Linked DNA regions of Macaca fascicularis. The protein of the gene in region 1 purifies or fractionates together with the protein of each later gene. This does not show direct contact. Links are inferred from orthologs where the notes say so. Each region holds a gene or a part of one and is shown in the gene's direction. Other genes may lie near its edges.

The links.
Region 2: the proteins of U2AF2 (region 1) and HNRNPF fractionate together in Homo sapiens (co-fractionation; 3 studies listed by BioGRID, with this or other methods). This does not show direct contact. The link is inferred for Macaca fascicularis from reciprocal best matches to the Homo sapiens genes U2AF2 and HNRNPF.
Region 3: the proteins of U2AF2 (region 1) and SRSF1 purify together in Homo sapiens (affinity purification with mass spectrometry; 4 studies listed by BioGRID and IntAct, counting the BioPlex papers as one, with this or other methods). This does not show direct contact. The link is inferred for Macaca fascicularis from reciprocal best matches to the Homo sapiens genes U2AF2 and SRSF1.
Region 4: the proteins of U2AF2 (region 1) and SRPK1 purify together in Homo sapiens (affinity purification with mass spectrometry; 3 studies listed by BioGRID and IntAct, counting the BioPlex papers as one, with this or other methods). This does not show direct contact. The link is inferred for Macaca fascicularis from reciprocal best matches to the Homo sapiens genes U2AF2 and SRPK1.
Region 5: the proteins of U2AF2 (region 1) and ACIN1 purify together in Homo sapiens (affinity purification with mass spectrometry; 3 studies listed by BioGRID and IntAct, counting the BioPlex papers as one, with this or other methods). This does not show direct contact. The link is inferred for Macaca fascicularis from reciprocal best matches to the Homo sapiens genes U2AF2 and ACIN1.
Region 6: the proteins of U2AF2 (region 1) and SF3B2 purify together in Homo sapiens (affinity purification with mass spectrometry; 3 studies listed by BioGRID and IntAct, counting the BioPlex papers as one, with this or other methods). This does not show direct contact. The link is inferred for Macaca fascicularis from reciprocal best matches to the Homo sapiens genes U2AF2 and SF3B2.
Region 7: the proteins of U2AF2 (region 1) and HNRNPM fractionate together in Homo sapiens (co-fractionation; 4 studies listed by BioGRID, with this or other methods). This does not show direct contact. The link is inferred for Macaca fascicularis from reciprocal best matches to the Homo sapiens genes U2AF2 and HNRNPM.

The regions. Positions count from the first base shown.
Region 1 is NC_088393.1:63,623,416-63,627,189, forward strand, and holds part of U2AF2 (splicing factor U2AF 65 kDa subunit), read left to right. Parts: coding exon 1-247; intron 248-532; coding exon 533-619; coding exon of another isoform or gene 620-631; intron 632-886; coding exon 887-1,135; intron 1,136-3,774. UniProt on the Homo sapiens protein: Plays a role in pre-mRNA splicing and 3'-end processing. By recruiting PRPF19 and the PRP19C/Prp19 complex/NTC/Nineteen complex to the RNA polymerase II C-terminal domain (CTD), and thereby pre-mRNA, may couple transcription to splicing.
Region 2 is NC_088383.1:52,665,920-52,669,693, reverse strand, and holds part of HNRNPF (heterogeneous nuclear ribonucleoprotein F), read left to right. Parts: intron 1-2,207; 5' UTR 2,208-2,259; coding exon 2,260-3,507; 3' UTR 3,508-3,774.
Region 3 is NC_088390.1:48,706,046-48,710,453, forward strand, and holds the start of SRSF1 (serine/arginine-rich splicing factor 1), read left to right. Parts: upstream 1-1,500; 5' UTR 1,501-1,609; coding exon 1,610-1,803; intron 1,804-2,211; coding exon 2,212-2,396; intron 2,397-2,763; coding exon 2,764-2,936; intron 2,937-3,136; coding exon 3,137-3,323; intron 3,324-3,696; coding exon 3,697-3,719; coding exon of another isoform or gene 3,720-3,735; 3' UTR 3,736-4,408. UniProt on the Homo sapiens protein: Plays a role in preventing exon skipping, ensuring the accuracy of splicing and regulating alternative splicing.
Region 4 is NC_088378.1:135,782,489-135,786,262, forward strand, and holds part of SRPK1 (SRSF protein kinase 1), read left to right. Parts: intron 1-618; exon of another isoform or gene 619-620; coding exon of another isoform or gene 621-646; coding exon 647-765; intron 766-2,605; coding exon 2,606-2,714; intron 2,715-3,413; coding exon 3,414-3,501; intron 3,502-3,774. UniProt on the Homo sapiens protein: Serine/arginine-rich protein-specific kinase which specifically phosphorylates its substrates at serine residues located in regions rich in arginine/serine dipeptides, known as RS domains and is involved in the phosphorylation of SR splicing factors and the regulation of splicing.
Region 5 is NC_088381.1:90,850,245-90,854,770, reverse strand, and holds the start of ACIN1 (apoptotic chromatin condensation inducer in the nucleus), read left to right. Parts: upstream 1-1,534; 5' UTR 1,535-1,702; coding exon 1,703-2,014; intron 2,015-3,426; coding exon 3,427-3,492; intron 3,493-4,526.
Region 6 is NC_088388.1:8,324,271-8,328,044, reverse strand, and holds part of SF3B2 (splicing factor 3B subunit 2), read left to right. Parts: intron 1-2,844; coding exon 2,845-2,944; intron 2,945-3,050; coding exon 3,051-3,236; intron 3,237-3,574; coding exon 3,575-3,646; 3' UTR 3,647-3,774. UniProt on the Homo sapiens protein: Component of the 17S U2 SnRNP complex of the spliceosome, a large ribonucleoprotein complex that removes introns from transcribed pre-mRNAs.
Region 7 is NC_088393.1:9,176,857-9,179,872, forward strand, and holds part of HNRNPM (heterogeneous nuclear ribonucleoprotein M), read left to right. Parts: intron 1-1,667; coding exon 1,668-2,470; intron 2,471-3,016. UniProt on the Homo sapiens protein: Pre-mRNA binding protein in vivo, binds avidly to poly(G) and poly(U) RNA homopolymers in vitro. Involved in splicing.

The DNA.
Region 1 (3,774 bases):
GCTGTTCATCGGGGGCTTACCCAACTACCTGAACGATGACCAGGTAACCTCCGTGCCTCCCTCCAGTCCCGTGCCCCCCCGGCCCCATCTCAGCCCAGCCCTGATAGACTCTCGGCCGCTGCAGGTCAAAGAGCTGCTGACATCCTTTGGGCCCCTCAAGGCCTTCAACCTGGTCAAGGACAGTGCCACGGGGCTCTCCAAGGGCTACGCCTTCTGTGAGTACGTGGACATCAACGTCACGGATCAGGTGAGTCCCTGGCCCCTGGCCGCTGCCGCGTCTGTCCTTCCCTGCCTTGCGTCTGTTGCCAAGCCGTGGTGTCCCCTCCTCGGGACGGGGCGGGAGGCGGCCAACCTGAGGCAGTGCCCTGCGTGTGGGCTTGTCCTTGTCCCGTGGTGTTGGCTTTTTCCAGGCTCTTAATCCCCTTTGCCTTCCCCTCTTCCCCCACCAATGCCCCGGCTTGGGGGTAGGTGTTGGGCTCCCCGTCCCTGACCCACCTCTCCCGTACCCCTACCCCTCGTCCTCCAAACGCAGGCCATTGCGGGGCTGAACGGTATGCAGCTGGGGGATAAGAAGCTGCTGGTCCAGAGGGCGAGTGTGGGAGCCAAGAATGCCACGCTGGTGAGCCCCCCGGCACGTCATCTTCCATTGGCTCGAGGGACCCGGGGGTGGGAGGGCTGGCTAGGGACAAGCTTTCTGATCTTTCTCCCAGCTTTCATGGGAAGGCAGTTGGGGGGCGTTCAGTGCAGTGTTGGGGAGTGGAGCTTTAGGTGTTTAAGTGTAAGAGATGGCCTTTTCCCTGGGTGGGCATCTGAGGGGCATAGGCTTGAGCAGAGGGAGACTGGGTCTGGGCCCCCTGTGACGCCCCTGCCTCCCCTGGCCCCACAGAGCACCATCAATCAGACGCCAGTGACCCTGCAAGTGCCGGGCCTGATGAGCTCCCAGGTGCAGATGGGCGGCCACCCGACTGAGGTCCTGTGCCTCATGAACATGGTGCTGCCGGAGGAGCTGCTGGACGACGAGGAGTACGAGGAGATCGTGGAGGACGTGCGGGACGAGTGCAGCAAGTATGGGCTTGTCAAGTCCATCGAGATCCCCCGGCCTGTGGACGGTGTCGAGGTGCCCGGCTGCGGAAAGGTCAGGAGGCCCTGGGCTCAGAGCTTTCTCACCCTCTCCCCCTTCCTCTTCTCGCCCTCTCTTTCCTCCCTTCTCTCTCTCTTTCCTCCTTTCTCCCTCTCTTCCCTGTCCCTCTCCTCTCCTCAGTCTCCCTCTCCCTTCGCTGAGCATGCATATAGGTGTGTGCCATCACTGAGTGCTGCCCTCAGGCCTGGCCATAGGAGATGTTGGTGACGGTCTGAGGCCTGCAGGCGAGACAGTAGTTGGGGAATGCAGCTCTGTATTGCTTTAGAACTTGGCCCTGCTCCCCCTTCTTATATGGCCTTGCTTGTGCAAATGGTTTTGTCTGGTCTGTGGAGTGGGGAAGAGTGCTGGGAACAGTCCCAAGACACCTGCTGGTGTCTGCTATGTCAGGCACTCTGCTGAAGCTGTGTTTGCACTCACCCTGAGCCCTCTAAGTAGCTCCTGAGCTCCATTGTGGGAGGAGACAGGCACAGCTGGGGTGGCTCACACTGGCAGGTTTCAGGTTCTCGGAGTCTGATTTCAGAGCTCACTAAGTCCTGTCACCTCCAGCACCGTGACAGGTGTAACCAACTCACCTTGTCTGCCTTGTGAGACGGTGGTGGTGAGGGCGTGTGACCTGCTCTTTGATCCCCTTGTTCGGCGTATGTGTGGAATTCCCACCGTACCAGGCTTGGAGGGACCTCTGTTCACTACTGAGCCCTCAGTGTCTACATCAGAGCCTGGTACGATGATGCTGAGGGTTCAGTAGTGAACAGAGGTCCCTCCTGTCCTGTGCAGCAGAGGTCCTGGGGATGCAGCTGTTAGAGGACATGCATGCTGTGTTGATTCGGGGCAGGGGCGGCATTCCTGGGTGTGCTGTTCATTCAGGGTGGTCAAGGTTAAGAGGTGGCAGTGAGCAGGTGAGCGAGCGAGGTGGTGGGGCCCGGGCTGAGTGGCAGGCCTTGGAGGGCTGCATGGGTCTTAGAATGACCGGTTATTTTGAGCCAGATGGGAGGGAAGCAATACTGAGAGGCCTCCAGTGTGGTCACGCCTGGCAGATGGAAATGGCCCCACATGGTGAGGTTAGGGGTGGGCGCGGAGGCACAGCAGGTGCTTCCCTGGGCTCTGCCTCCCCTGCTTAGCCCTGCAGGGCAGAATGGGGATGAGCAGGAGGGCAGAGAGGGTGCTGTGGACAGGAGGCCTTGCTGGGGGCTGGCAGGTTTGGTGCTGCCGAAGTGATGCCACAGCCAGGTTTGTCAGGACCAAGGCTGGCTGTGCAGGGCCAGATTGGGCAGGGGGGCCTTGTCGTGGAAGCAGCTCGGCTTTCCCCTGGAGTGGTGGGCTTTTCAAAGAGAAAACAGTGCTGTGGTGCTGGCATTTTTGAGGTGATTATGGCTGCAGTTGGGAAGATGAACGGTGGGGAGGTGTCCCATGATAAACTGGGTGAAAGATGGTAATCTGATTTAAAGTAGCAGCAGGGGATGGAGAGTTGAAGGATTTGAGGGAGACTTGTGCCTGGGAAGTGTCCAGACTTTGGTGATCGGTGTGTTTGTGTGCGGGGGAGGCCTATGGGCTGCTCAGTAGCAGCTCTGATGGTGGGGACGGTAGGTGAGACGCAGGGGTGACAAGCAGGTTGTGGGGGTGAGCCGGGGGTGGGGCGGCTAGCTGGCTTTGGATTTCTGAGACACCCAGTAGAGATGTCGAGGATGAATTAGCTGGACAGGTCTGTGCTCCCAGCATGAGGGCTGATGGAACTCAGGTGTCAGGGTCCCGCTTGGGACCTCGGGATGGCGGAGTGGGAGAGCAGGGTCGGGATGGCGGAGTGGGAGAGCAGGGTCGGGATGGCGGAGTGGGAGAGCAGGGTCGGGATGGCGGAGTGGGAGAGCAGGGTCGGGATGGCGGAGTGGGAGAGCAGGGTCGGGATGGCGGAGTGGGAGAGTAGGGTTGGGATGGCGGAGTGGGAGAGCAGGGTCGGGATGGCGGAGTGGGAGAGCAGGGTTGGGATGGCGGAGTGGGAGAGCAGGGTCGGGATGGCGGAGTGGGAGAGCAGGGTCGGGATGGCGGAGTGGGAGAGTAGGGTTGGGGGGGCAGCTGGAGAGGTGGAAGGAGCATCTTAGAGAAGGGCAAGGGGAAGGCCGGCAGCATCTCCTCTCACTGCAGCTCCTGCCCATGCCCTCCAGAGTCCCCGTCCCTTGAGCTGGTATGTCAGGGCTGCTCTCTGGTGTTGGGCTGGAGCTTGGCTCAAGCAGGGGCTGAGGAAACATTTGTGGGAAGAAGAGAAGGAATGGAGAGACCCTGGCCTTTGGGATCAGCTGACCTGTTTTACATATTAAATTTATTGCATTGGCCGAGCGCGGTGGCTCACGCCTGTAATCCCAGCACTTTGGGAGGCTGAGACAGGCGGATCATGAGGTCAGGAGTTGGAGACAAGCCTGGCCAATGTGGTGAAACCCCGTCTCTGCTAAAAAAAAATACAAAAATTAGCCAGGTGTGGTGGCGCATGCCTGTAATCCCAGCTACTCAGGAGGCTGAGGCAGGAGAATTACTTGAACCCGGGAGGCGGAGGTTGCAGTGAGCCAAGATTGCGCCACTGCACTCCCAGCCTGGGTGACAGAGCAAGACTCGGTCTCAGAAAAAAAAGAAATTACTGCATTGTA
Region 2 (3,774 bases), on another chromosome or scaffold:
CTTTCAAAGCCCTTGCATGCCAAGTCACAGTTCATGAGTAAATGCCGGGTATTTGGTCTTGGTGATGTGTTCAGGATATCACATACTGTTCTGTTTCATTTGTGTCATTATGCTTGTTATTGGGAGAAGAGACATGTCTTGTTGTCTTTATAATCTGGTGTAGACACAGGCAGATTTAAAAGATTTACACAATTATCCTTTTAGACATTGTCAATTTGAAATAACGAAGCACTGTATGATAAATGTCATCTGCATTGGCTACATCAAACTTTAAAATTACTAATATGATCAGTCAAAATGGTAACTACTTGTTACTAATTTAGTTTTCCCTGAAGCTAGTGCAGTTGAGCATTTCATTTATTATGAATTTGCTTTTCCTTTTCTTAAATTGCACTTACCTATACTTTTTGTCTGTTTTTTAAACTGTGGGTTTTTTTTAATGGAGCATTTTTCCCCACATGATGAGCCCATATTGCTTGAAAAGACTAGCAGCTTGTACCTGTTATGCTTGATGTAAAATGACACTTTGAAACATTAGATTTCCAGCTGTGCATGGTGGCTCATGCCTGTGATCCCAGCACTTTGGGCAGCTAAGGCGGGCGGATCACCTGAGGTCAGGAATTAAAGACCAGCCTGGCCAACATGGTGAAACCCCGTATCTACTAAAAATACAAAAAATTAGCTGGGTGTGGTGGCCTGTAATCCCAGCTACTCAGGAGATTGAGACAGGAGAATTTCTTGAACCTGGGAGGCGGAGGTTGCAGTGAGCTGAGATTGTGCCATTACACTCCAGCCTGGGTGACAGATTGAGACTGTCTCAAAACAAAAACAAAAAAAATTATCTGGGCATGGTGGCACACACCTGTAATCCCAGCTACTCGCGAGTCTGAGGGGAGAGAACCACTGGAACCTGGGAGGCGGAGGTTGCAGTGAGATGAGATCCGCCACTGCACTCCAGCCTGGGAGACAGAGCAAGACTCCGTCTCCAAAAAAAAAAAAAAAAAGCTCGGGGGAGTGGATCACCTGAGGTTGGGAGTTAGAGACCAGCCTGACCAACACGGAGAAACCCCGTCTCTACTTAAAAAAAAAAAAAAAAAAAAATAGCTTGGTGTGCATGCCTGTAATCCCAGCTACTCGGGAGGCTGAGGCAGGAAAATCGCTTGAACTAGGGAGGCGGAGGTTGCAGTGAGCCAAGATCGTGCCACTGCACTCCATCCTGGGCAACAAGAGTGAAACTCTGTCTCAAAAAAAAAAAAAAAAAAAAGATTTCCATATACTCCTGTGCTCATTTTGAGCATCATCTTTGACATTGTTCATACAAAAATATGTCTTCGGCACCATAATACTGCAGTATTTTTCTTGCTTATGGCTGGCTATGCTGTATACCCTGGCGTCTGGGTCAGCTGCTGCTCTTTCTCAGAAGACTGCCTTCTAGTGTGTAGTTGGCCTTATTCTTTGAGTTTGGACTTCCAAGTGCCATGTACCACCCTGGTGGGAAGGGCATTTCTCAGCCCTCTTGCGATTGCCCTTTCTTCCCGGTGCCCTCTTCTAGATCTTAAGCAAAAGACAGCAATTCTGCTATATTTTATGTGAACTGGTGAATCTGATATTTAGTTTGAATTGACGATTTGGGAGCAAAATCATACCTCTGTAGACACTGTAAGCCGTTACTGTCTTGTATCCTGGCAACATTACTGCCGATGAGAAAATTAGAAAATCTTACCCTATGTTGTGGTTTAAAAACAGCCTGCTATGTTCCCATCCCCTCTCATGAAAGTAAAAGTATCCTACCATAAACAATAAAATTTACTAAATTTACTGTTTAACCAAATGTAAGGCCTATAGTTTAGGAAGAACTGAGGTGCTCTTATAAGTGAACTGCCACATAATTATCATGACAAACGTGGAATAAATATAACAAGGAAATGCGCTTGCTCTCACCTGACTGAAATTTACATTTCTCTGTGTTCAAGGCACCACGTTCACATGCATCGTCCTGTCTTGTAAACTCCTGATTTTTTTCAAATTGCCTATGACTGCTCATGTAATTTTTTGAGAAACCTGGAGTTAAATCTTAGCTCTCAATTGTATTTGGTATATTTCTTAATGTCTTGCTACCTCTCTCATCTGTAAAATGGGGAAATTTTCTGTTGCATACTTTTGTTGTGCATATTAAATAAATTTGTCTTTTTTTTTTTTTTTCCCAGCCACAAAAAAGCCACACCCAAGATCACCTGACACCCACCCTGTCAAGTGTCCATGATGCTGGGCCCTGAGGGAGGTGAAGGCTTTGTGGTCAAGCTCCGTGGCCTGCCCTGGTCCTGCTCTGTTGAGGACGTGCAGAACTTCCTCTCTGACTGCACGATTCATGATGGGGCCGCAGGTGTCCATTTCATCTATACTAGAGAGGGCAGGCAGAGTGGTGAGGCTTTTGTTGAACTTGGATCAGAAGATGATGTAAAAATGGCCCTGAAAAAAGACAGGGAAAGCATGGGACACCGGTACATTGAGGTGTTCAAGTCCCACAGAACCGAGATGGATTGGGTGTTGAAGCACAGCGGTCCCAACAGTGCCGACAGCGCCAACGATGGCTTCGTGCGGCTTCGAGGACTCCCATTTGGATGCACAAAGGAAGAAATTGTTCAGTTCTTCTCAGGGTTGGAAATCGTGCCAAACGGGATCACATTGCCTGTGGACCCCGAAGGCAAGATTACAGGGGAAGCGTTCGTGCAGTTTGCCTCGCAGGAGTTAGCTGAGAAGGCTCTAGGGAAGCACAAGGAGAGGATAGGGCACAGGTACATCGAGGTGTTTAAGAGCAGCCAGGAGGAAGTTAGGTCATACTCAGATCCCCCTCTGAAGTTCATGTCCGTGCAGCGGCCAGGGCCCTATGACCGGCCCGGGACTGCCAGGAGGTATATTGGCATCGTGAAGCAGGCAGGCCTGGAGAGGATGAGGCCCGGTGCCTACAGCACAGGCTACGGGGGCTACGAGGAGTACAGTGGCCTCAGTGATGGCTACGGCTTCACCACCGACCTGTTCGGGAGAGATCTCAGCTACTGTCTCTCCGGAATGTATGACCACAGATATGGCGACAGTGAGTTCACAGTGCAGAGCACCACAGGCCACTGTGTCCACATGAGGGGTCTGCCATACAAAGCGACCGAGAACGACATTTACAACTTCTTCTCTCCTCTCAACCCTGTGAGAGTCCATATTGAGATCGGCCCAGATGGAAGAGTGACGGGTGAAGCAGATGTTGAGTTTGCTACTCATGAAGAAGCTGTGGCAGCTATGTCCAAAGACAGGGCCAATATGCAGCACAGATACATAGAACTCTTCTTGAATTCAACAACAGGGGCCAGCAATGGGGCGTATAGCAGCCAGGTGATGCAAGGCATGGGGGTGTCTGCTGCCCAGGCCACTTATAGTGGCCTGGAGAGCCAGTCAGTGAGTGGCTGTTACGGGGCCGGCTATAGTGGGCAGAACAGCATGGGTGGCTATGACTAGTTTTGTTAGGAACATTTGAGTTATTTCAATCAAATTTTCACAGGCAGCCAACAAGCAGTTAAGAGCAGTTATAATAGAGGAAGCTGGGGGACCCATTTTGCACCATGAGTTTGTGAAATCTGGATTAAAAAATTACCTCTTCAGTGTTTTCTCATGCAAAATTTTCTTCTAGCATGTGATAATGAGTAAACTAAAACTATTTTCAGCTTTTCTCAATTAACATTTTGGTAGTATACTTCAGAGTGATGTTATCCGAGTTTAAGTAGT
Region 3 (4,408 bases), on another chromosome or scaffold:
GATCTGTTATCGCAAATTTATGACTGCAGGATTTGATTTTGTTGTTGTTTCCCCCTCCTTTTTTTTTTTTTTTTTTTTTTTAGGAGGAGTCTTACTCTGTAGCCCAGGCTGCAGCGCAATGGCGCGATCTCGGCTCACTGCAACCTCCACCTCCAGGGTTCTAGCGATTCTCCTGCCTCAGCCTCCCGAGTAGGCTGGATTACAGGCGCCCGCCACCAAGCCCGGCTAATTTTTTTTTTTTCAGTAGAGACGGGATTTCACCATGTTGGCCAGGCTGGTCTCGAACTCCTGACCTCAAGTGATCTGCCGCCTCTACCTCCCAAAGTGCTGGCGTGAGCCACCGCGCCCAGCCTGATTTTAATTTGAATTCATTAGCGACGTTTAAAAATCCCAGGATTTCACATAAAAATCCAGATTGCAGACGTCGAAAAAAAATGTAAAATGTTATCTCCCAATGTCGCAGGCAAATAAGATCACAGTCCTGAATAGCAACCGCGGTCTCTAGTGGATACGGCTCTCATCCATTTCGGTCCATTTTATTACCTGGGAGGACCGGTATTTTCAATTTCAGTAACTTTTAGAGGAAACTTTTGAAAAAAGGACTGCACACACGCACCTTTTCTTCCTTCTCGTTCTTTAAAAGGAAACAACAGAAACAATTCATTCTGCAGGCAATCTGCGCTAGTCCCACGGATAGGCGATTAACAAGAGATAAAGAGGTGTGGGTACCAGAAGCAGTACTGTTACCCCTTCTGGTTGGCGGGTACCACGTTGAAAGGTCGGGGTACGGGCCCACTGCGACTAGCACAAAGAGTGCTGAACTGAGCTATGCAAAGTTCTGACGAGAAGGTGGAATGGTTCTTAATGAAAAGGATTAAGGAATCTAAACCGGTTTCGCTAAATTAGACACATCTGTCTAAGCAGCCACAGCTTGTTCGCAGCAGGGGCGGGAAGACAAACCAACGCCCCAGCTCTCTATTCAGTCACCGGCAACTCAGCTCTGGACCAGACGCACTCTACGAAGATACCCGGGTTTCCGGAGCAACGGCCCGAGCCCTCCCCCTTTAGCCCCGCCTCCGAGTCTCTTTCCCGCCAAAGGCCGTTATCGCCGCAGAGCATGGTGGGACAAGGCTTTAGGCTAGGTTTCACCAAGTCCTTTGAAGGCGCCGAGTTGCTTTCAAAGCTCCTCATTCCTGGGGAAATTGACTATCCTTCAAGACTCGACCTGGATGACTAGCTCCTTTAACGAGAGTTCTTTATTTAACTTTTACCAAACGGCTGCTCACTCTATTCGCAAACCACCCCAAGCGGGGAACGCGGGGGACTTTTTTTCCCCCTTCGTGCGGAGGGTGACGTCGCGCGTGCGTGCGCGTGCGTTGCGCGTATCCCTCGCAGCACCCGTTGCGCTCCCGCGCGTGCGTGTTGGGATCGAATCGCTGTTTCCTTCCGCTTCTCTTCCTCTGTCTCCCCCCCATATCCGTGCGCCGAGCTGATAAAGGCGCCATTTTGGAGGGGCCGCGGGAGACGTGGTGCCGCTGCGGGCTCGCTCTGCGGTGCGCTAGGCTTGGTGGGAAGGCCTGTTCTCGAGTCCGCGCTTTTCGTCACCGCCATGTCGGGAGGTGGTGTGATTCGTGGCCCCGCAGGGAACAACGATTGCCGCATCTACGTGGGTAACTTACCTCCAGACATCCGAACCAAGGACATTGAGGACGTGTTCTACAAATACGGCGCTATCCGCGACATCGACCTCAAGAATCGCCGCGGGGGACCGCCCTTCGCCTTCGTTGAGTTCGAGGACCCGCGGTGAGGCGGCATGGGGCTTGCAGCCTTGAGGAAATAGGTCCGAGTAGTCGGGGAAGGCTCCAAGGCCTTAACATAGAGAACGGGGAAGCGGGGGCTCTTAGAGAGGTTGGGGCGAGACTGTATCGCCCATGCAGGAGTCGAGTAAGGAGCTGAGTTGGTGTGGCTTCTCTGGCGCCTCGCCTTGGACGTCCCCGGAGCCCATTCGCAGGCTGGAGCGGGAAACTGAGGCGCTGAGGGCTGGTGTAGTGGTTGGGAGCCTGGCGTGTTTCTGGGTGGGGGAGGGGCCATTCCTATTATGCGGCGCATGTGGGCTCTTCCACGTTGGGTGCGCATGTGCGGGGGGTTCCCGACTGAGCGAGCTTCTCCTCCTGGTCTTTCTCATGCCTTTTACTTTCTGCGATCCCGCAGAGACGCGGAAGACGCGGTGTATGGTCGCGACGGCTATGATTACGATGGGTACCGTCTGCGGGTGGAGTTTCCTCGAAGCGGCCGTGGAACAGGCCGAGGCGGCGGCGGGGGTGGAGGTGGCGGAGCTCCCCGAGGTCGCTATGGCCCCCCATCCAGGCGGTCTGAAAACAGAGTGGTTGTCTCTGGTGAGTGTACTTTGTTGTGTGGATTGATGTGAAGGGACGGAAGCTACCTAAAATTTTTGTCTTGCATGATCGGTTTAACAATTGCAAATTTTTCATGCTAGGTGTTAAATTGCTTTAGTTTTTGGGTGAATTTAATAAACGAGGATTGCTGCTGTGGTGATTTACCAAATTAGGTTGCGGTACTAGATACGAAGATCCGTTACAAATAATTTTGGACTCTGGATCCCAGAATCTTACCAGCTCTTTACCTGGTATCACTTAAGTACACCTATTAAGTATTTTAAAGTACTCTTTGTTCTAATGTATCTTACCAGCTTAACGTGAAATTTAAGATAATTGATACTAAGAAAAAAAATCACTTTTTCAGGACTGCCTCCAAGTGGAAGTTGGCAGGATTTAAAGGATCACATGCGTGAAGCAGGTGATGTATGTTATGCTGATGTTTACCGAGATGGCACTGGTGTCGTGGAGTTTGTACGGAAAGAAGATATGACCTATGCAGTTCGAAAACTGGATAACACTAAGTTTAGATCTCATGAGGTAGGTTATACGCTTATTCTTTTCTTTGACCAGAATTGGATACAGTGGTCTTAACAGTGGAATTTGAAGGTAAGAATTCAGGCAAGGGTGTCCAAGTAAATTGCCAGATTTCTGGTTGTAGTTGCATTGTATGCATTCAGCATGCCTGAAGATAGATGAAAGCTTAGATCTTTCAATGGAAAGTTCTGTCTATCCAATAGGGAGAAACTGCCTACATCCGGGTTAAAGTTGATGGGCCCAGAAGTCCAAGTTATGGAAGATCTCGATCTCGAAGCCGTAGTCGTAGCAGAAGCCGTAGCAGAAGCAACAGCAGGAGTCGCAGTTACTCCCCAAGGAGAAGCAGAGGATCACCACGCTATTCTCCCCGTCATAGCAGATCTCGCTCTCGTACATAAGATGATTGGTGACACTTTTTGTAGAACCCATGTTGTATACAGTTTTCCTTTATTCAGTACAATCTTTTCATTTTTTAATTCAAACTGTTTTGTTCAGAATGGGCTAAAGTGTTGAATTGCATTCTTGTAATATCCCCTTGCTCCTAACATCTACATTCCCCTCGTGTCTTCGATAAATTGTATTTTAAGTGATGTCATAGACAGGATTGTTTAAATTTAGTTAACTCCATACTCTTCAGACTGTGATATTGTGTAAATGTCTATTCTGCCCTGGTTTGTGTGAACTGGGATGTTGGGGGTGTTTGTGGTTATCTTACCTGGGGAAGTTCTTATGTTTATCTTGCTTTTCATGTGTCTTTCTGTAGACATATCTGAAGAGATGGATTAAGAATGCTTTGGATTAAGGATTGTGGAGCACATTTCAATCATTTTAGGATTGTCAAAAGGAGGATTGAGGAGGATCAGATCAATAATGGAGGCAATGGTATGACTCCAAGTGCTATTGTCACAGATGAAATTGGCAGTATTGACCTTATACTAAAAGGCAGGGGTTAAAAATGATTATATACGTTTTCCTTAAAACACTTGCAAACATTTTATTCAGTTATCTTTAGCTACAATTGCTTTGCTCTTTAAACCTTGGCAATTGTGGCAAAATTATATTGCCCATTTTGTAGCAACTTATTTTGCTCCCTTCCCCCCATTTTTGTTTTAATAGGGACTAATGTGGGAAGAACTGGCTAATTTGTCACAGTGCTTAGTTACAACTGTTAATGTGTGACCTGCTGTTGGTGTACATGTGGGTACAGGGTGTCTTTAAATCCAACAAGATAGAGTATAATATCAATACTGCTAAATCTGCATGTCCTCTGTGTGACTGATAGAGCGTTGCTATTTCATTTTTTTAAGACAAAATGAAAGCAAAATATAGAGTTCCAATGTATTGGTGTAGATAATCTAGTTGGGAATACTTTTAAGTCTCACCTTCCCCTTTAAACTAATATTCATAATTGATTCATATGTTTAAAAGACTTTAATTTACAAATTAAATTGCAAATGGGAGCATTAGATATAGTT
Region 4 (3,774 bases), on another chromosome or scaffold:
TCGTCTCACTGTAGCCTCCACCTCCCAGGTTCAAGCAATTCTCCTGCCTCAGCCTCTCAAGTAGCTGGGATTACAGGTGCCCACCACCACACTGGGCTAATTTTTTGTACTTTTAGTAGAGATGGGGTTTCACCATATTGGCCAGGCTAGTTTCAAACTCCTGACCTCAGGTGATCCACCCACCTCGGCCTCCAAAAGTGCTGGGATTACAGGCATGAGCCACCATGCCCAGCCTGCATGTTAAGATTTAAGAGATTTCATAGAAATTAAAAAAGTTTATGATAGAAAAAGCCAGATGCAAATTTGTTTATATAGTATGTGATTACAGATAAATATTTTTATGAAGATACAGCAACATAGTGGAAGAAGATTCAGTAGTTTATCAGTGATTATGTTTGGATATTGAGATTCAAGTAATTTTTCTCCTTTGTACTTTTTAATATTTTTCAGATTTATCATGTACTGAAGTTGTAAAGTATTTTTCTAACATGAGGTAAAACTACAGCTAATGTTTTCCTAGGCAGCCACTTGGTAATACTCTGTTCGTATTATCTGAAGATTTAGTTTTTTGTGGGGAGGGCGGCATTTGATAATGTCTTATTTTCTTCTGTCCAAATGGAATGGGCATTTTTGTATCATTTCTTAGATCTGAAACTCAGCACCGAGGCTCTGCTCCCCACTCTGAGAGTGATCTACCAGAGCAAGAAGAGGAGATTCTGGGATCTGATGATGATGAGCAGGAAGATCCTAATGATTATTGTAAAGGTAAGTTCATAAGGAGGTATGAAGTGAGACATGATCCATCTATTTGCAGTTTCTCATTTGGATGTTTGATCTATCAGCATAAACACAGTTTTATTGGTGTTTACTTGTATCCTTTTCTCTAAAACTTAGGAAATAGTATTTGTTCTTAGTCTGACTTAATTTATCAAAGCCTGATTTTATATTAAATGTTTTTACCTTTTTCCTCTTTAAAAGTTATAATACATATTTACCTTAGAAAATTCCAGAGCTGTGTTAAACAGAAAAGAATGTAAAAGCCTTCTGCAATGCTATCAACCACATATAACCATGGTAACATTTTGGCATATAGATTTTTACAAAATACCTTCTTACTACTTTTTTTCTCATAGTGATGGCTGTTAAGTTAAACTGGAATTACAGACACTTAAATGGTGTCATCAGGTTGCCTGTTACCTTTTCTGTTTCTTGATGAGACTTTCCGGAGTCTTTGGGTAGGAACACAAAATGGAATGTATCATACCATCTAGGAGAAGAACGTGGCCCTTATTGTCAGCTGGCAAAGATAAATATGAAAATACCTTGATTCTTGCCACTGTTGGCAGCTTTTTTGAGGCCTTCCTCTGTTTTCTGCTTTTTAGGGTTTTTTTTGTTTTGTTTTTTGAGACAGAGTTGCCCAGGCTGGAGTGCTGTGGAGTCTCAGCCTACTGCAGCCTCTGACTCCTGAGTTCAAGCGATTCTCATGCCTCAGGCACCCACCACCACGCCTGGCTAATTTTTGGGTTTTTTTGTTTGTTTTTGTTTGTTTTTTGTGTTTTTGTTTTTTTGTTTTTGAGAAGGAGTCTCGCTCTGTTGCCCAGGCTGGAGTGCAGTTGGTATGATCTCAGCTCGCTGCAACCTCTGCCTCCCGGGTTCACGCCATTTTCCTGCCTCAGCCTCTAGAATAGCTGGGACTATAATCGCCTGCCACCATACCCGGATAACTTTTTGTATTTTTTCAGTAGAGACGGGGTTTCACCGTGTTAGCCAGATGGTCTCGATCTCCTGACCTTGTGATATGCCTGCCTCAGCCTCCCTGCTGGGATTACAGGCATGAGCCACCTCGCCTGGCATTTGTTTGTTTGTTTTTGTTTGTTTTGAGACAATCTCACTCTGTCGCCCAGGCTGGAGTGCAGTGGCACGATCTCAGCTCACTGCAACCTCTGCCTCCTGGGTTCAAGCAATTCTCCTGCCTCAGCCTCCTGAGTAGCTGGGACTACAGGCACGCGCCATGACACCAGCCAATTTTTGTATTTTTAGTAGAAGACACGGTTTCACCATGTTGGCCAGGCTGGTCTCGAACTCTTGACCGCAAATGATCCACCCTCCTCAGCCTCCCAAAGTGCTGGGATTACAGGCGTGAGCCACTGCACCTGGGCTATTTGTTTTTATTTAGAGGAACAAAATCCCGTTTGCTTACTTGTTTTTGTTTGTTTTGTTTTTTGCTAAATAATTATTCTGTCTCCTAAAAAACACCTGAGACTGTAATTATAAATAGATATATATTAGATATATATGTTTAGATAAACTTACTGGATTATTGAGAGACAAGAATATTGTGATATACAACCTTTTTATTGTTTTTGGATGAGCCTGTTGTAGGCTCAATCTAAATCATTAATCTTATTCACTTTTTTTATAACATGAAGTCAGTAATACTATGTGGCTGATTTGACTATTAAGGCTTTCTTCTGTTGAATTGATTGTATAAAAGAAACTTTTTGTTGATAAAAGGTATATAGATGTTGAAAAATGTGATGTAAAAATGCCTTTTCTTACCATTGTTTCTCGTCCTGGTTTTTCTGATTTCCCCTGTGTCTTCCAGGAGGTTATCATCTTGTGAAAATTGGAGATCTATTCAATGGGAGATATCATGTGATCCGAAAGTTAGGCTGGGGACACTTTTCAACAGTATGGTTATCATGGGATATTCAGTAAGTTTTAGTGGTTCTGTAAAAAAATTAGTTAGATGATGTCTAAATATGTTTGTCTGAGTTTCCACTGCTGATCCAGACTTCAATCTATCTCTAGCCTGATACATTTATCAGAATTTTGTTGTTGGCAATAGTCTCTATATTCTTGGAGAAATCACTTTTCTTTCGTGAAGAATCGGTATTATATATCTCCCTTTCTACTTTAGAGACAAGAGTGATTAAATTAATGCTGGTAAAGCTTTTGTCGTTTGATTTTTTTGTTATTTTTATCGTTTTCTTTTCACCCAAATATTTCTTCTGGCTGCCTGTGGGAAAATATTACAGCTATTAACCTTTTAGTTTTTGCCTATATACAGATACACAGAACACTTGGAATTTGGTAATATCTTTCCCCTTATTTATCCTCATTTTGAAGTTTTGCTTGAAATTCAGGGAGATATTCAAAAGAAGGATTTTAACTCAGAGAAAATGTTCAACAACTGAGATTATCTGAGAACAGATCTTTTATTCTTCCTACAAATGAAATCTGGCCAGTTAGCATCATTAACAAGTACAAATGTTCCCATAGAAGTAGCTTGTTTGGGCTACAGGGAAACATGAAATCAGTATTTGTCCTTTTTAACCATCTTATAGCTAAACCTTAGCTTCCTAAAGTAAGGGTAGGCTATGTAGTCTTAATTGCCTGTGTTTGTTTCTTAGGGGGAAGAAATTTGTGGCAATGAAAGTAGTTAAAAGTGCTGAACATTACACCGAAACAGCACTCGATGAAATCCGGTTGCTGAAGTCAGTGAGTATTAGATTATATGTATGAATGCAAAGAATTATAAATATATCAAGTTTCATTGAATTAAAGCACACCAAGTGGAGACTCCTCAGCATGGATAATTTTCTCTATAAAGTTCTAGTATCCTTAAAGAGGTTAAGGAAGACAACAATATTTACACATTCCATGCATGTAGTAGGGAACTGGTGGGAAATGCTATGATTAGAATTATTACACACATGAACCAAAAAAAACCTTTCAAATGAATAAAAATATTCACTGAGCATGTTTTACAGG
Region 5 (4,526 bases), on another chromosome or scaffold:
CCAGTTGGTTTGTTGGCTTAGAGATCTAACAACTGTTACACTACTTCATGACAATCCATGTTTTTAAACAATTGCCCTTAATATTTAGTATGGGCCAGACACAGTGGCTCTTGCACTTCCAAAGTAATCTCAGCACTTTGGGAGGCCGAGGCAAGAGGATAGCTTGAATCCAGTTGTTCAAGACCAGCCTGGGCAACATGGCAAAACCTCATCTCTACAAAAAATTTAAAAACTCGTTGGGCGTAGAGGTGCCTAACTGTAGTCCTAGCTACTTAGGAGGCTGAGGTAGGAGGATCACCTGAGCCCGGGAGGTTGAGGCTGTAGTGAGCCCTGATCACACCACTGCACTCTAGCCTGGTTCAGAGTGGAATGACCCAGAGTGGAGTGACAAAAAAAAATTTTTTTTTTTTAGTATGGCATCTATTGGTGCCTTGCTATTTATTTATTTATTTATTTATTTATTTATTTATTTATTTTTGAGACGGAGTCTTGCTCTGTCGCCCAGGCTGGAGTGCAATGGCGTGATCTCAGCTCACTTCAACCTCCGCTTCCCGGGTTCAAGCAATTCTCCTGCCTCAGCCTCCCGAGCAGCTGGGAATATAGGCGTACGCCCGGCTAATTTGTTTGTATTTTTACTAGAGACGGGGTTTCACCATATTGGCCAGATTGGTCTCCAATTCCTGACCTCAAGTGATCCGCCTGCCTCGGCCTCCCAAAGTGCTTATAGGCATGAGCCACCGCGCCCGGCGCCTTGACATTAATTTTGCATCATGAATGCAACGGAAAGATCAGCCTATTTGACTTCAATAGTTTTCAGTCTCTTAAATCTCTAACATATCTCTTAAATCTCTAAACCATTTGTCTGTGACCTATTTTACTGTTTGTGTTTCTTCTGCATCAAGTTGGAGGATTGCTAGTGACAAAGAAAGAAGCCCCTAAACAATATGAGTTCAAGTACCAAAAAAGTTCAGGGCGCTTGCATTTTTCAGTTCTTGCCCTACAGGAAGCAGTTCCTCCAAGGGAACTTACTCTCTTCTTCGGAGAAATGGAGAATTTTCTTGCCACACGGCTTCCCAGGCAAACGCAAACTCAAACTCAAGTTGAGCGTCATAAATCAGTTCATAGTCTGGGTCTGAAGACACGGCGCTGCCTGCCTCTTCCCCACTTTGGAGGCCACGGAGCTTGTTATTCCGATTCCGCCCCCCTCCACAGGCCCCACCAAAAAAAAAGCCTAAGATGGGAGTGGCTGGGATTCAGAGGACAGAGGGCAGAAGCTGTTTGCGTTAAGAAGTAGGTGGCTTGCCCTATTAGGATAGTCCGCAAACACCGAGTCTGACCCGGCCCATAGAGGTACTTCCACCCCGCTTACCTCCCCTTTTCTCTCGGAGAGCACCCGAAGATTGTCAGGAGTCCTTAGACTCCAACTACCGCTGCAGCTTCCAAATTTCCTGAAAACCCTAAGCTGGGCCAGCCCGGCAGCCCACGCACTTCCGGCCTCGGACCCGCCCCAAACACCCAAGAGCCCCAGCGCCTCATCTCTAGGTCCGGAGATAAACGAACATCTCCGATTATGGTTATACCAGAGTCGAGGGCTTCCGAATATATTCGATTCAAAGCTTCGGCAAGACGAAGAAAACCGAGCCTGAAAGCAGGGCGAGAATAGGGGAGCTGCAGGGCGGATGGAAAGAATTGATTGGTGCCGATGTGGAGACGGAAATATCCGAGGACATCCGGAGGAAGCCGGGGAGTTCTGAGTGGTAATCGAGGGGTAGAGTATGGCAGTGGGCGGGGTCATCTCGGTACGTTCGAAGGGCGTTGGCGGAAATTACCGAAGATGCCCGAAGCCGTCGGGACGGACCCGAGTACCTCACGCAAGATGGCGGAGCTGGAGGAGGTGACTCTGGACGGGAAGCCTCTTCAGGCGCTGCGGGTGACCGACCTGAAGGCCGCACTGGAGCAGCGAGGCCTAGCCAAGAGCGGGCAGAAGAGTGCCCTGGTCAAGCGGCTCAAAGGGGTGAGGAGTCGGCGTTGCTGGGGTGTCGGAGGAGAGCGGACCCGGTAGAGACGAGCCTCTGCCGCGGCGCAGGCGCAGTATCCGGGCTCGGCGCGAGCTCGCTCAGGCCGCCAGCGCGAGCCTCTGGATCCGCGCGCACGGTGGTTGGTGAGGTTCGCGCTGGAATGGCGATCGCGCCGGTTCCCGCCTTAACGGCAGCAGCGCGAGCCCAAATGGGAGGGTGTGCACTACTCTCCAGGAGTGTCTTAAGCTCCTTCCTCCTTCCCCCACCCCCTCCTTGTTTGTATCTGTGGTTTCGGCGCATGCGCTGCAGAAGGAGTTAAATCCCACTACAACCTACGGCGTCGCTGGCCTGAGGGGGGCGAGTTGGGCTGGGTCGGAGTTAGGGGTATAGTTGCGCGGAGGGGTGGATGGGGTTGGTATCGGTATCTGCAGGAATAGGATTGGGGTAGGGTAAAATGTCTGCTCGATTAGATGAGGTGAGATGAAGAGAGACCTTTATGTGAAGGGACTTGATGAGAGAGGTGTCTAATTTATAGGGCATCTAGTGGCAATTTGGGTAGTTAAGAGTTTGGTGAATATTGGTGAGAGAGGCGAGGCAGGTTGATACATATTGGGGATTTTGAATCAGTTTAAGTAGATTAAGGTGGGAATGTCATGAGGTAGGTGTAGATCGATTCGAGTGTATAGGTTTGGTTTAAAGAAGGGAAGATGAGGATGTCTTGGTTTTAATTAGAGTTCAATAGGATACGTGGCAGGTAGTGCAGATTAGGTCTGGGTTGGCTCCAGGGTTGAGTTGGCAGACCGTTGCTTATACAGAAGCTGATTGTGTGTGTGTGTGTGTGTGGATGGACGGACTAGGTTAGACCACAGTTCACAGGGTCTCTGGTCATTTTCTTCTGTAGCCTCCTCTTTGAAAATTTTGTAAATTTGGTAAATCTAGGTGCCACAGTACTGGAAATTATACAAATTGACTCTAGTCCTGGGTAACCCTTTGACCAAGTAATTCCATCAGGCAAAAACCAGGAGCCCCATGGCTGCTGGTTTGAGTATTTTTAAGTAGTTTTACCTGCATGATCAGATTTAGAAGGGGCACTTGGCACAAGTGCAGAAGACAACAGGGATTTTAGTACTGGTTCTATTACTGATATTGTGACATAGCCAGGTCACTGATTCTGTGTGCCTGCATTTTATATCTGTACGTTTAGTAACAGTAACCGTGGCTACCTTTAAGGGTCTTCTGGTGATGAATGAGAACAGTGTCAGTAAAGGATTTTCAGGTCCCTGGAAGGGGAATACAGTTTAATTGTGTGTATTTAAGTCATTGCATTTAATTAAGAGGTTGTGGTAGAGGTGGGAGTTTTTCTTTTTTTTTCCTCATCATTTCTGACTTTTACCCTTCTCTATACCAGGCTCTAATGCTAGAAAATTTACAGAAACACTCAACACCCCATGCTGCATTCCAGCCAAATTCCCAGGTGAGAAAGGTTTATTCAATGGAGTGGGCTCTTTGGATATACAGACACATGGCAGGACGTGGTGTTGTATATTTCATGCTTAATTCCTCACGACTATTTTCCTAAGTTCCCTTGGTCAGAAATGTTCTCAAACCAGGACAGTTGAATTCGAATCACCCAGTTGTATACAAGGGCCTGGAGTAAAGAACAGAATCAAAGGCGCTATTAGTTTATAATAATTGAAATGGTATGTGCAGAAAGGTGTGGCTTCCATTAATTACGTGTAGTACAGAGATCTGAAGTCATTTATCTGCCATGAATTTAGGAAAGGTAGTTGATGTCTTTGAGTATAGATATGAAGTAGACCACCAATGTGACAGTGTAGGAAAATAGTTGCTAATTAAGAACTCTTGTTGATGTAGATTTACCAAGGATTCAATCCTGTGTAAGTCACCCACCATTACTAGTGTTAACTACTAACTCAATGCACTTATTCATAAGCATTACTAATAGTTCCTTTACTTAGGATAAGAAACTTAACCTTTGGAGGCCTTGGTTTCCTCCATTTCCTTATCTGTAATATGAGAAAAAGTCAAACTAAACCCATGGGTTTATAACTGCTCTCGGGGTTTTGTGGAGCTGCTTTGGGGAGCTTCTTAGGGGAAATAAATACCTTTTTCTCAAGTAAGCAAGGCTCATACTTCTCTCTTAAACTAGATTAGATCTACTTTTATCCGCTTTGACTATTGAGTTTCTGCATAAGATGTCTTTTAAATTATTCCACAGTTAAAATCCAAAAATTATAAGGCTGCACAGTCTCTTAAAGTTTCTTTCAGTTTTTGAAAATCCCCTCTTTATAATGTGTCATATACTTAAAGGAAAAATCCAAGTCTTTGTTAAAGCAGTGGTGTGCAGCCTCAGTACTAGATGAAGTCCCAGGATACTGTGGAAAACAAGAGAGCCCTCCTACTCCCTTGTTATCACCTCATTAAGCTGTAAGTATCATAATCTAGCCAGCTTTCAGAGGTTCAATTAAGTACTTTAACAAGCATAAG
Region 6 (3,774 bases), on another chromosome or scaffold:
AGATTTTATCGCTAGTTCTAACAATTTGACTGCAATGTGCCTAGGTGTAGTTTCCGAGTGTTCCTTTGCTTGGGGTTTTTAAAGCATCTTAGATCTGGGTTTTTAGTTTTTATTAATTTGGGGGAAATTTTGGTCATGATTTCTCCAAATATTTTCTCTGTTCCCTTCTCTTTCCTCTCACCTTATTCCTCTGTTAAGTTGTCCCACTGCTCACTGATGCTTTTCATTTTTCTTTTTTTTTTTTTTTTGAGACGGAGTCTTGCTCTGTTGCCCAGGCTGGAGTGCAGTGGCCGGATCTCGGCTCACTGCAAGCTCTGCCTCCCGGGTTCACGCCATTCTCCTGCCTCAGCCTCCCGAGTAGCTGGGACTACAGGCACCCGCCACCTCGCCCAGCTATTTTTTTGTAATTTTTAGTAGAGACGGGGTTTCACCGTGTTAGCCAGGATGGTCTCTATCTCCTGACCTCGTGATCCGCCCGTCTCGGCCTCCCAAAGTGCTGGGATTACAGGCTTGAGCCACTGCGCCCGGCCGATGCTTTTCATTTTTAAAGAAATTCTTCTCTCTTTGTATTTCACTTTAGAAAATTTCTATTGCTATGTGTTCAAGTTTACTATTATTTTCTTCTGTAATTTCTGGTCTAACAGTAATCCCATACAATATAATTCTCCTTTCTAGAAGTTTGATTTCAGGTCTTTTAAATCTATTCTTTCTCTCTTAACTTTTTGAACATGTGGAATGCAGTTATAACAATATTTTATTTTTATTTTATCTTATTTTATTTTATGATGGAGTCTTACCCTGTTGCCTAGCCTGGAGTGCAGTGGCATAATCTCGGCTTATGGCAACCTCTGCTGCCCAGGTTCAAGCGATTCTTGTGCCGCAGCCTCCCAAGTAGCTGGGACTACAGGTGTGTGCCACCACACCCAGCTACTTTTTTTGTATTTTTAGTAGAGACAGGGTTTCACCATGTTGACCGAGCTGTTCTTGAACTCCTCAGGTGATCCGCCTGTCTCAGCCTCCCAAAGTGCTGGGATTATAGGCATGAGCCACCACACCTGGCTGTAACAACATTTTAATGTATTGTCTGCTAACTCTAACATCTGTGCCATTTCTGGGTTGATTGCCATTAGTGGATTCATTTTTCTCATATGGATTGTATTTTCCTACTCTTTTGCATGCCTGGTAATTTTTTTTTCTTTTCCTTTTTTCTTTTGAGAGAGGTTCTCACTGTGTTGCCCAGGCTGGTCTTGAACTTCTGAGCTCAAGCAGTCCTCCTGCCTCAGCTTCCCAAAGTGCTGGGATTACAGGTGTGAGCCACCAGACCTGTCCAGTGCCTGGTAATTTTTTACTGAATGCTAGGCTTTGTGAAATTTACCTTGTTGGGTCCATGATATTTTTGTATTCCTGTAGATTTTCTTCAGCTCATTCAGGAATATAGTTATATGGAGCTAGTTTGATCCTTTCAGGTCTTGTTTTTGGGGTTCTTGAGGCAGGACTGAAGCAGTCCTCCCCACTGTGAGGCACAAGTGCCTGTGGACTCTACCCACCGCCCTGTGAATCAGGAGGTTTTTCCGTCTGGCTAGTGGGAGTTGCACTATTCCCAGTTCTGAGTGAGCAGCAGGTGCTGTTACGAATCCTTTCGGGTGCTTCTTTCCCTGTCCTTGGTAGGCATGTGCTGCTTAGTACTCCCCTGCATACTTGAGGACCTTCTCTAGGTCTCTTGAGTTCTCTCTCAGCTCTTTTCTTCAGTACTCTATCCTGTGAACTCTAGCTGCCTTGATCTCCCTGGACTTTCAGCTTCATCCTCCCAACTCATGGAGTCCTCAGGGCTCTCCATGCGTCTTCCCTCTGTTCTGTGGCCTGCAAACTCTTGGTGCAGTATGCTGGGGCAGTTGAAGGGCTCATTGCATTTGTTTCCTATCTTGCAGGAATCACTGTGCTTTGTTGCCCCATGTCTAGTGTCTTGAAAACCACTGTTTCATATATTTTGCCCATTTTTTGGTTGTTTCAGGCAGGAGGGTGTATCTGGTTCCTGTTGCTCCTTGTCAGGAAGCAGAAGTCTCAAGCTTTGCATATTCAAGGAAGAAAAATAAAGAAGGGTACTGTGGACAGAGTATAGTGAGGAGGGCTTGGGTAAGGGATCAGGCTATGAACCCTTTAGGTCATGGTAAGGAGTTTAGATTTTATTCAGATAATGATCAGAAGCCTCAGAGGGTTTTGAGCAAAGGTCTGACAGGACCTGCAATCCATTTTAAGCCATTTTCTCTGGCTCTTGTGTGGAGAATAGATTGTCACCTCTTCCAGTGGGAGAGGTGGAGATGATGGACACAGTCTGGGGTAATAGTGGTAGAGGTGCTCTTATTCCTAGTGTAATCCTTGAAATTAGTGGTGAAACTGGCTGTGGATGGCTCTTGCGTCGGAAGGCCTGAAGTGTGAATTACGTACATGAGAACTCAAGGCATGACATTCTTCGGGTGGGAACTGTTGTCACCTGCTCTCTCTTGCTAGCTTCTCTGTACCAAAGTTCTCTTGGAAACTTTGAGCCTCTCTGACCTTTTGACCCTTCTGTACATGTGGGAGTCCTGGTCTGTGATCCCCTAACTTGGTTTAGGGGGCCCCTTAGCTCCATCTGTGTTCCCTGGAGTCAGCACTGTGCCACCCTCCCCTTCCCCCTGCCCAATTATTTTCTGTCATGGGCTTCCATGAACTGCAGAGGCTGCATCCTTGGGGAGCTCAGAAGCTCTCCAAGGCGCTGAGTGGAGGTGCCACCTGTATCTTTTGTTTCTGCTTCTGGAGACCCTTTTGTCCCTTCCTTTTTGGGCCTGATCCCATTGTCCTTCACAGAAGTGAGACACCTCAGCTCTTCACCGTGTTGCCAGAGAAGAGAACAGCCACTGTTGGGGGAGCCATGATGGGATCAACCCACATTTATGATATGTCCACGGTGAGTACTTGGAGGACATACTGCTTTTGGAGGCTGAGAAGGGCGGCAGAAGCTAGGGCTTCTCTGACTCTCTTTGGAGGTGACAAGGCCCTGATCTCCTTTCCAGGTTATGAGCCGGAAGGGCCCAGCTCCTGAACTGCAAGGTGTGGAAGTGGCGCTGGCGCCTGAGGAGTTGGAGCTTGATCCTATGGCCATGACCCAGAAGTATGAGGAGCATGTGCGGGAGCAGCAGGCTCAAGTAGAGAAGGAGGACTTCAGCGACATGGTGGCTGAGCATGCTGCCAAACAGAAGGTAGGCGCTTCCAGGGGCGCTGGGCTGGGTGAGAGCCAGGGACCCTGGCCTGCCGTTTTCAGTGGTGTGGTGCCCTCTAGTGGTGAGAGTGAGGGTGGCCTCTGCTTGCTGCCCTGTGCGCTTAGATTTGGAAGTCTTAGAAATCCTCCAGTGGGCTGCCCTCTTTAAGGACGATGAGGGGGAGGAACTCAGCCAAGTCTGAGAGGGAGCTCGAAGAGAATCCAGATTCAGCACCTTTCCCACAGACTTCTATGTCTATGTCAGGCTGCCCACCCTTGTTTTGGGGGTCTGGGGGTGGTTCAACCTGTTATAACCTGTGTCTCTTTCTCCCTATGCAGCAAAAGAAACGGAAAGCTCAGCCCCAGGACAGCCGTGGGGGCAGCAAGAAATACAAAGAGTTCAAGTTTTAGGTCCCCTCATGCTGGCCCTTTTTTTGGCCCTCCGTCTGGATGCCTGGGCTTCACAAAAGAGCCATCTCTCCCGCAGTTCCCAAGGACTTGTCATTTCATGTTCTTATTTTAGACCTGTTTTGTAAATA
Region 7 (3,016 bases), about 54 Mb from region 1:
CTCCTGGCCTCAGTTGAACTGCACACCTCCAGAGTGCTGGGATGACAGATGTGAGCCGCCACACCCGGCCCGAATGTACTTTTTCAGCCTGATTTTCCCTCTGAGTGTCTTGGCATCTCACCTCCTGACATCTGTGTTGGGCTGGCTCTGGAGCTCCACACCGGCACCATTTCTTCCCAGTCTTTTGCTTCTGTTGGCATTGGGAGTTGCCCTGCCTCATTTCTTTCTTTTTTTTTTTTTTGGAGACGGAGTCTCACCCTGTCGCCCAGGCTAGAGTGCAGTGGCACGATCTCAGCTCACTCTAACCTCCGTCTCCCGGGTTCAAGTGATTCTCCTGCCTCAGCCTTCTGACTAGCTGGGACTAAGGCGCTCGCCACCATGCCCAGCTAATTTTTGCAGTTTTAGTAGAGATTGGGTTTCACCATGTTGGCCAGGCTGGTCTCGAACTCCTCACCTTGTTCCGCCCGCCTCAGCCTCCCAAAGTGCTGGGATTACAGGCATGAGCCACCACATCCAGCCGCCCCACCTCATTTCTGATGCCTTTGGGCAAAGTGCCCATTCTCGCTAGGTTCCTTATACTGTGGGGAAGTTCTGAGACGTCTCCCCTCTGAAAGTCACACATTCTTAAAGTTGGGCCTGCTTTTTGTCTCTCAGTGTGCTGCTCTGCAGCTAAGGAAGCAAGTACGGAGCAACAGAGAGACTTGTCTGTGGTCAGTTGTAGAGCCAATTAGAGAAACTGCTGAGTTTCCTCTTGAATTGGAATTTTTGACTAGGCTGCTTGGGTCAGTCACAGGCTGGCTCTGGGCTGATGGCCACTCTCAGAGGCAAACGACAGGGTTTCGGGGAGGAGCCCCAAGCTCGGCATGTGGAAAGGGGTGGCCTTGCTGATGGAGCCAGACCCTTGCTTTCCAGAGTTGCAAGCACTACGGGTGGGGGGTCCCTTTGTTCTGCTGGCTGACCCCCAGCTGCCACCAGAGCCCAGTCTGCAGTTCCATCAACATCTTCTTTCCAAAGCCAGCAGATCATTTGGTTTCTGTAATAATAAGGTCCCCAGAAGTGGCCAGTTGTGTGCATTTGTACACAGAGGATCTCTCGGTGTGTGTTTTTTGACCTCTGCTTGATGGTGTGGCCGAAAATCCTTCTCTGTTCCCTGGAAGCGCTGAGGAAACGCAGCCAGAGTGGCCCCCAGCAGAGCATCCGAGAGGGACAGGGTGGGAGGGGAAGGTGGGAGTAACTTGGACTTGTCTCCACGTAACTCCTGTTCATTACCCTGGGTGGCCTTCTGAGTGGGGGGTGTCCTTGCCTCCCCCTGGAGCATTTCTCAGTGTCTGCTGATGGAGAAACCTCAGAGGTCTCAGGAATTGACATCCATGGTTCACAAAGCTTGTCACAGACACTAGCACCTCACAGACACACATACAGGGGTGTTCTTTAGAAGTTGTGTTATGGAAATCTCAGCTGTGGCATAGAGCAGAGAGAATGCTGGGAGGCCCTCATGAGTCCATCACCCAGCTGTAGCTGTTGTCAACATTTGAGGGGTGTCTTAACGGTAAATTATGGTGGGCCTTTACCCCGATCCATGCCCATGAGCTGAAGTGGTCTGGCGTGTTGTACACACGCATACTTAAGTTCTTGACACCAACCTGTGTTTTGTGTCCCTGTTTCAGGTGGAGGTGGAGGAAGCGTCCCTGGGATCGAGAGGATGGGTCCTGGCATTGACCGCCTCGGGGGTGCCGGCATGGAGCGCATGGGCGCAGGCCTGGGCCACGGCATGGATCGCGTGGGCTCCGAGATCGAGCGCATGGGCCTGGTCATGGACCGCATGGGCTCCGTGGAGCGCATGGGCTCCGGCATTGAGCGCATGGGCCCGCTGGGCCTTGACCACATGGCGTCTAGCATCGAGCGCATGGGCCAGACGATGGAGCGCATAGGCTCAGGCGTGGAGCGCATGGGTGCCGGCATGGGCTTCGGCCTTGAGCGCATGGCCGCTCCCATCGACCGTGTGGGCCAGACCATTGAGCGCATGGGCTCTGGCGTGGAGCGCATGGGCCCTGCCATTGAGCGCATGGGCCTGAGCATGGAGCGCATGGTGCCCGCAGGTATGGGGGCTGGCCTGGAGCGCATGGGCCCCGTGATGGATCGCATGGCCACCGGCCTGGAGCGCATGGGCGCCAACAACCTGGAGCGGATGGGCCTGGAGCGCATGGGCGCCAACAGCCTCGAGCGCATGGGCCTGGAGCGCATGGGTGCCAACAGCCTCGAGCGCATGGGCCCCGCCATGGGCCCGGCCCTGGGCGCTGGCATTGAGCGCATGGGCCTGGCCATGGGTGGCGGTGGCGGTGCCAGCTTTGACCGTGCCATCGAGATGGAGCGTGGCAACTTTGGAGGAAGTTTCGCAGGCTCCTTTGGTGGAGCTGGAGGCCATGCTCCTGGGGTGGCCAGGAAGGCCTGCCAGATATTTGTGAGAAATGTAAGTGGCTCTTGGGGAACTTCTTGGTGGTGGTGAGCATGAGGGGACAGGGGAGACAAAGATCAGCAGGATGAAGTCAGAGGTGGCGCCCTCCAAAGAGGACCACATCTCCTTGCTCCTGTCCCAAACGTTTTATGCTAGTGGGACAAGTAAGGAATGTGAGAACTGTGGGTTCTGGAAGAGCCTGGGCTTCTCCACTGCGCTAGAATATGGAGCAGACTCTGAGCTCAGAGACTGCAGTTTCTGATTGCTTGGCTTGAAGAGGCACTGTGTCTTGCACAGTGATCCAGGGAAAGAAGTGGCTGTAACGGAATTATTTTCCCCAGCTCAGCCACTCTTAGCCACTATTTAGTGACTGTGGGCTGCGCACCACAGGCCCAAGCGTCCCATCCTGCACAGTGCTCCCACAGTCTGAGCCCCAGGGAGGGAGCTGGCTGTGCCACTTCACAGCCTTGTCCCACGTGGACCTATTAGTTCCCTGCTGATCGCCTCAGTCTGAAGAGCAGCCAGCTTCTTGGTATAGTAAGAAATCTAGTGTAGCCCTCA